Linked DNA regions of Oryctolagus cuniculus. The protein of the gene in region 2 purifies or fractionates together with the protein of the main gene of each other region. This does not show direct contact. Links are inferred from orthologs where the notes say so. Each region holds a gene or a part of one and is shown on either strand. Other genes may lie near its edges. The genes, in order: OBI1 and WRAP73.

What was found.
Region 1: the proteins of WRAP73 (region 2) and OBI1 purify together in Homo sapiens (affinity purification with mass spectrometry; 3 studies listed by BioGRID and IntAct, counting the BioPlex papers as one, with this or other methods). This does not show direct contact. The link is inferred for Oryctolagus cuniculus from reciprocal best matches to the Homo sapiens genes WRAP73 and OBI1.

The regions. Positions count from the first base shown.
Region 1 is NC_091440.1:33,625,374-33,628,245, reverse strand, and holds part of OBI1 (ORC ubiquitin ligase 1), read right to left. Parts: intron 885-2,872; coding exon 1-884. UniProt on the Homo sapiens protein: E3 ubiquitin ligase essential for DNA replication origin activation during S phase.
Region 2 is NC_091438.1:162,833,802-162,838,174, reverse strand, and holds the start of WRAP73 (WD repeat-containing protein WRAP73), read right to left. Parts: upstream 2,825-4,373; 5' UTR 2,726-2,824; coding exon 2,657-2,725; intron 1,368-2,656; coding exon 1,215-1,367; intron 309-1,214; coding exon 192-308; intron 1-191.

The DNA.
Region 1 (2,872 bases), on a different chromosome or scaffold from region 2:
TGGATAAACATGAGCCCGATTTCTCACTCAGTTTTGAAGATATTTCTCCAACAGAATTTGCCATGTTATTCCCTTCTGAACTCTCAAAATCCAAGCTTTGGGCATAGCTTGTAGAACAGCAATCCCAAAATCCTGTCTTTGGGGAAGTAAAACATTCTGATTTCTTTTCATTTTCACTTCTACTTATATCATCTTCTGAAGAATCTTTATTACAAACATTTGTAGAATCACAAAAATCATCAAATACCAATTTTCTTAGATGGTTTGAGTGCTTTCTGGAACTTCCTGCTTTGACTACAGAGCTCTCTCTATTTTCTGGAGTATTAAGCTGAAGGCAACTAAGAGACAAAGGAGTACAAGGAGCTGGAAGATCATAAAGTTCTTCATCTTTGTAGGGTACACAATCACTTGGTTTATTACCCCATTCTCTTTCCAAATAAGCATCCATGTTTGCATCTGTCACATCTAACATTATTTCTACCCGTTTTTGATATAGGTCTTTGTTCTTAGAAGAATTAGGCTCTGTTTTGCTGGTACTTTCTTGTCTGGCAGAACTGGTGTCAGACAGTCTGCTGCTGGAAGGCTTTGTCAGGTGAGAACTTGAGGTGGATGAGCCAGACTGCGTTCTGGCATTGTCACATTGATTCTTTGACACCATATCCTCTTCACTATCCTTGATCCTCTTGCCATCTGCAGAAAGTACTCTCTGGCAAATGGAATCCATAGCTTCCTTCTCTTCACTTGAATGTTTTAGTTGTGTGACTTGAGATTCTAGTTCCTCTATATACTTATCACTTCGCTCCAGGGCTTTCTTGAGCCGATTAGTTTCACGTTCATACTGTTCAACTTTGGACTGAAGAGCAGCAACTGTAAACCTTCCAAACCTATAAAGAATGGAAGCAGAGTTAATCTTACAGATCAATTGTTTTTCTTTTTTTTTAAAAGTTTAAGAATGCAAACTTCCCAGGAACTTTTTAACTACACATGGCAGTGAGAAGTCAGAACACTTAATGAGTAGAACAAAAGCTATGGCAGATGTAGTATCTTCATAAAATGGTCTCCCTCCTGATGTAATATAGTAAGTACATGATAATAACTGCAAAGATCTTAAATAATATTTCTGTGGCTCAATCAGTGCAGTTTTAGCAAAGAGGAACAAATTTACTGATGATTTCCCTTCCAAGAGCTAGCTCTGTCATGTTAGCTCAAATATGCATGAAGAGTTATCCCCTAAAACAATGGCAAAGATTTATGATAACATTTGAACAGTGGTCCACATCTTGAAATATTTACATTCAATCATTTTCCTATCATACAGCAGCGCTTTACAACACATTTCTTACACAATGTCACCTTGTCAAACATAAAATGCCAATTTGAAATTCAGAAATCTTAGTAGTCCCAGGAAGAGTGGTTTTAAATACTTATTTGGACCCTTTCAATTATAGTCTCCCTTGATCTGAAGGTTTTCCTTGGCCTTTCTAAGCACTGGGCTTTAATTTATTTCAGCTCTACTTATTTTTAGCATTTTATAACTGTATGGGACATCAATCTCATTTCTTTCAACTTTGAAAAATAAAGTCAGTGCCTGTGCTTCCAATATACTATGAATAAAAACATTTTTACATTTTCTTAAAGGGAATATTTTGGAGAGTGACAAAAAAGAATGTATCAAAAATTCAGTCTTTTAACCTAGCATTATCTTTTTTCTATTATTATGTCAATAATAGGTACCAGGTTTAATTCAGAAAGTAATTTTTGAGGACCTAGTATAGGTTTGATGGTATATCTGGTTGGAGCTGAGGAGTAAGACAGTTTCAGCTCCAAAGGACATAAAATATCTAGGTTAAATTCTATCTTATCACAAATGAAAATTCTAACTTTCAGGAAACTGCTTCTTATAACCCAATAAACATAAACCTTACATTCTAACTCCATGAAAAATATCATCTCTCTCCTAAAGTTCTTTCCGAAAGTGCTAATCATCTTTTTGATAATTAGTTTTTTTTTTAATTTTTTTTTTTTTGAGAGGCAGAGTGGACAGTGAGAGAGAGAGAGAGACAGAGAGAAAGGTCTTCCTTTACCGTTGGTTGACCCCCAATGGCCGCTGTGATAGGCGTGCTGCGGCCAGTGCACTGCACTGATCCGAACCCAGGAGCCAGGTGATTCTCCTGGTCTCCCATGCGGGTGCAGGGCCCAAGCACTTGGGCCATCCTCCACTGCACTCCTGGGCCACAGCAGAGAGCTGGATTGGAAGAGGGGCAACCGAGACAGAATCCAGCGCCTTGACCGGGACTAGAACCCGGTGTGCTGGCCCCGCAGGCGGAAGATTAGCCTATTGAGCCATGGCGCCGGCCTGATAATTAGTTTTTTTTTTTTTTAAAGAATTCAAGAATTATTTGCAGGAAGGTGCTTGAGAACTACTATTAAAAAGTATCTATATCTGGATTTACCTTCTTTTTTTCCTTAATTATAAAAATAATCATGGGGCCAGCACCGTGGTGTAGTGGGTAAAGCTATTGCCTGCAGTGCCAGCATCCCACATGGGCGTCAGTTCGAGTGCTCTCTGCTATGGCCTGGGAAGGCAGTACAAGATGGCTCAAGTCCTTGGGCTCCTGCACCTGCATGGGAGACCTACAAGAAGCTCCTGGCTCCTGGCTTCAGATCAGTGCAGCTCCAGCTGTTGCGGCCATCTGGTGAGTGAACCATTGGCTGGAAGACCTCTCCCCCCCCCCCCCACTGCCTCTCTGTAACTCTACCTTTCAAATAAATAAATAAATCTTGTAAAATAATCTAAGAAAAAAATAATCACAATTGAGTAAATATATTAAGCATAAAAACATTACAAAGGAGCAGCAGCCAACAGTGATTG
Region 2 (4,373 bases):
CCCGGCACCAGGCCCGGCCCACTGACCCCTGGCATCTTCCTCTGCTCTACCCGGCGCGGGGCCTGGCCCACTGACCGCCAGCAGCCCCCTCCACGTCTCCCCAGCAGCCCCCTCTGCATCTCCTGGCGCAGGGCCCGGCTCGCCGACCCCCGGCAGCCCCCTCGCATCTCCGGGCCCAGGCTCGCACTCACGTGGAACTCGGTAGTGTTGAGGATGTGCCGGCCGTCCGGGCTCCAGCACGAAGCCACCAGCCCCGCTGAGCCCTCGTCAATCTTGCAGTGCCACTCCGGCTGCTCCAGGGACCAGACCTGCGGCCGGAGAGACAGGAGGGCAGCCCTGCACCCTGCGGGCTCGGAGCAGCACCGGGGGGCCGGGGCCTCCTGTGGAGGACGGTGGGGGGGCCCCGCAGGCCCCGAGCCCCCGGGTGCTTCCGCGGTGTTCTGTGTGCAGCGCTCGCTGCCTTCCCAGGGCGGCGCCGTTAGCTCCGGGAGGCAGAGGAAACACCGCCTCCCAGGGGCCCGCGCAGACCGCGGCTCGCGCCGCCGCCCGTGTCTGACCGCGTTCGCTAGGAAACTCAGATCGCACGGTGTGTCCTCAGTTAAAGTGAGCACAGAGGGAGAACAACTGATTGGGAGGAAAGAGGCTTCCAGAGACTCGGGCTTCCTCCGGCGGGAAGGGCGGACACGGCTTCCCCCAGGGATTCCTGGAGACACTTCTGAGCGCGAGGAGCACACACACCCCTGCGCAACCCGTACACACACACCCCTGCGCAACTCCCCAGTCACACACTCAGCACACACCTGCACGCCCCCCCCACCTGCATGAGCCCCCCCACACCTGCACAAGCCCCTCACACACCCCTGCGCAACCTGTACACACACACCCCTGCGCAACTCCCCAGTCACACACATGGCACACACCTGCACGCGCCCCTCACACACACCTGCACGCCCCCCCACCTGCACGAGCCCCTCACACACACAGCTGCACGCCCCCCCACCTGCACGAGCCCCTCACATACACAGCTGCACAACCCCCACACCTGCACAAGCCCCTCACATACACAGCTTCACGCCCCCCACACACACCTGCACACCCCCCCCACCTGCACAAGCCCTCTCTCACACACACAGCTGCACGCCCCCCAACCTGCACCAGCCCCCCCACACACCTGCACGAGCCCCCCCCACCTGCACGAGCCCCCCCCCACACACCTGCACGATCCCCCGCTTGTACATGGCGCACAGGATGAAGAGGGAGTCCGCCGACCACTCCACGTGCTGGACCTGGTCCAGGCACGTGTACAGCTGCAGGATCTGCAGGGAGCTCACATCCCGGACGACTAACCGGTACTGCACACAGGAAGCCTAGAAACAGGGCGCAGGTGACGTCCGTGGCTACGTGCTGCTCCCACCCCAAAGGCAAGAGGAGTCAATAAACGATAAAGTTGAATAATTAAAATCATTACATTTTAGTATAAAGTGTGACTATTTTAATAATACTTAGGAAACATTTCCTACTCCTCCCGGAGCTATTCCTTAAGAACCTGAAGCAGGAGGCAGCAGGGACTCCTCCACCCCGACCACCTGTAGGGAGCTTTCTCCAGCTCATGGTGGGGGGGTCGGAGCCTCTCCATTGCCTGGGGTTCACAGTCGGCAGAGGAAAAGCTGTTCCCCGGAGCTGGCTTCGCTACATTGACTTCCTCCCCACCCGAGGTGACAATGTATCAGTCTTTCTTCCCCCATCTCAGCACAGAATCCCCAGGCCTGAGTCCTCCCTGGCCCCGGAGCTCCGGCTGACTTTAAAGATTCACTTTAGTACTGGCAGGTGTTAGAACTCAGCAACCGAGGCGCCACCCTGCCGGCTCGGAGCTCAGCCCGGCAGGCAGCCCCTTCGGCCTGGGGAGCGGCTGCGGGAGAGAAGCCCAGGCGAGGAGAGAAGGAGTCCTCCCCCGCCCAACTGTTCACTCCCGCCAGCAAAATTAACAACCAGCTGACATCTACACCGGCTCTGGACAGATGGAGACCAGGGCGCAGGGAGTCGCATCCGCCCAGGTCCCGCCCCTGCCCAGAGCGCCAGCCCGGGTCCCCCCCCCGCCCGGGGCCTGCACCTGCCCAGAGCCCCTGCCCAAGCCCACAACACCTCCCAGGGTCCTGCACCTGCCCGGGTCGCCCCCACCATCCCCACCCAGAGCCCCAGCCCAGGTCCCGCCCTGCCCAGAGCCCCTGCCCGGGTCCCGCTCCTGCTTGGATCCCGCCCCGTCCAGAGCCCCAGCCCGGGTCACCCACCTGCCTGGATCCCACACCTGCTCAGAGCCCCTGCCCAGGTCCCGCCCTCCCCAGAGCCCCAGCCAGGGTCCTGCACCTGCCTGGATCCCACCCATGCCCACAACACCCCCCAGGGTCCTGCACCTGCCCGGGTCCCGCCCTGCCCAGAGCCCCAGCCGGGGTCCCGCACCTGCCCGGGTCCCGCCCCTGCCCAGGTCCCGCCCTGCCCACAACACCCCCCAGGGTCTGCACTGCCCGGAACACCTCCAGGGTCTGCACCTGCCCCGCCCCTGCACGGAGCGCCTGCCGGGGTCCCGCACCCGCCCCGGCCCTGGCGGACCCGAGCCCTGGCCCCCGGGGTCCCGGGTCCGCCGCCCCGCGCCGCTCACCAGGTACTTGCCGTCCGGGGAGAACTTGCAGAGCAGGTTGGAGAGTTTGAACGTCTCGGAGAAGTTCATGGCCACCGCCCGCGCGGGCCGACCCGCGCCCGAAAGCCCGCGGGGACTCGGGCGGCCGCCGCAGCCCCAACCGCTGCGGGCCGCGGCCGGAAGTGGGGAGGCGGAAGCGAGCCTCCGCCAATCAGGGCCGCGCCGGCCGCGCGCGGCATTGTGGGGCTGGAAGTCCTCGCGCCCCGCGCCGCCGAGCCTTAAAGGGGCAGCGCGCGACGGGGCCGAACTCGAGGGCTGCGGGGCTTCGGCCCCGGATGCAGAGCAAACGCGGGGTTCGCGGCTCGACAGGAGTTTCCGATAAGCCAGGAATCATGGGCGGTGCGAGCACGCGCGCAGAAGCTGCACGGGGCCCCCGGGTGCTCGCGGAACCCGAGGGTCGCCGCGGACACTGGCCGAGGCGGAAGCGTGCCGCTCGTGCCCGGCCGCAGGCGTGTGAACGGGCATCGTGCGCGCGCTCCCGTGTAACGCACGAACCACCGACGGCGGCCGAGCGAAAGGCCCCGAGGGAGCGAGCCCCGCGCGGACGCCACCGGTCGCGCCGCGCCCTGTCCCCACCCCTCCGCCCCCACGCCCACTCGGGACCCGGTCCCCCTACCCGGCGGAGGCCGCCGCACTCCTGGCCCTCGTAGGGCCTGCGGGTCGTGCCGACCCCGCCACGCTCAGGCCCCGCAGGCTGGGCCCCGCGGGATCCTCCCGCGCACGTCCCCAGCTCCCCGGAACGAACACAGCCGGTGCGAGCGTGCGCCCGATCGCTGGCTTCTCCGTCCCCAACCCGCGCCCCGCAAACTCTAGGGGAGCGGTACCGGTGTGCGGAGGCCACGGGAGACGCCGCACCCGCGGGAACTCCAAGGCGTCGGGTTCCCGCGGGCGGGGGACATCGCGGTGGAGCCAGATAACGCGGCCCCCCCGCCCCACTCCAGACGACAGCGCACGGCGGGGGCCCGCCGCCAAGACCCCCTCAGCACTGGCCCGCGCGTGGGTGCTGCAGCCCGGACCCTGCGAACGGGGGCCAGGACCCCGACGCTCCCGCTTTACCGGCGGGGCGCGGGCCGCAGGGGAGGTCCGCCTCATCCCGAGCGGGCCTCGGGGCGTTGGGTCCCACGTTTGGCCAAGGACACCTGTGCGCACCTTCGCCCGCGCCGAGCAGCCTGCAGCGCCAGGGGCCCGAGCAAGGTGCCGGCTACAGCCGCGAAGTTCGCATCCCAGGGGCGTCCTGGACCAACCTAGCAGAGCGCGTGGCCGGCGCTCCCGGGCGGAGCGGACCCGTCAGTGCCGCCCCGACGCCAGGTTCCCTCCTGCGCACGGAGGCCGCGGACCCTTCCCCTGGGTCCCCAGTTCCCGGCGCGCCGAGGGGCCCAGCGCCGGTGGGGACGCCGCTGGGAGAGGAGAAGGCTGGGGTGGGGAATCCGAAGCGTCGGGGCGCGGAGCCCACACCTGCTCCCGCCCCGCCCCCGGCTCCCGCGCGCCTTCCCCGCGCCCCCGGGCTTGCCCAAGGTCGCGGCCCGCCCTCGCCCGCGGGACGGCCCCGGCGCCCGACCCGCGTCCGGCCCTGCGCGGGCGGCCCCTCCCGGGCTCGCCTGGGGCGACTCGCGCCAAGCGGCGGCGGGAAGGAGCCGGGCGGAACGCGCGCGGGACCCCGACCCAGAGGAGGCCAGCT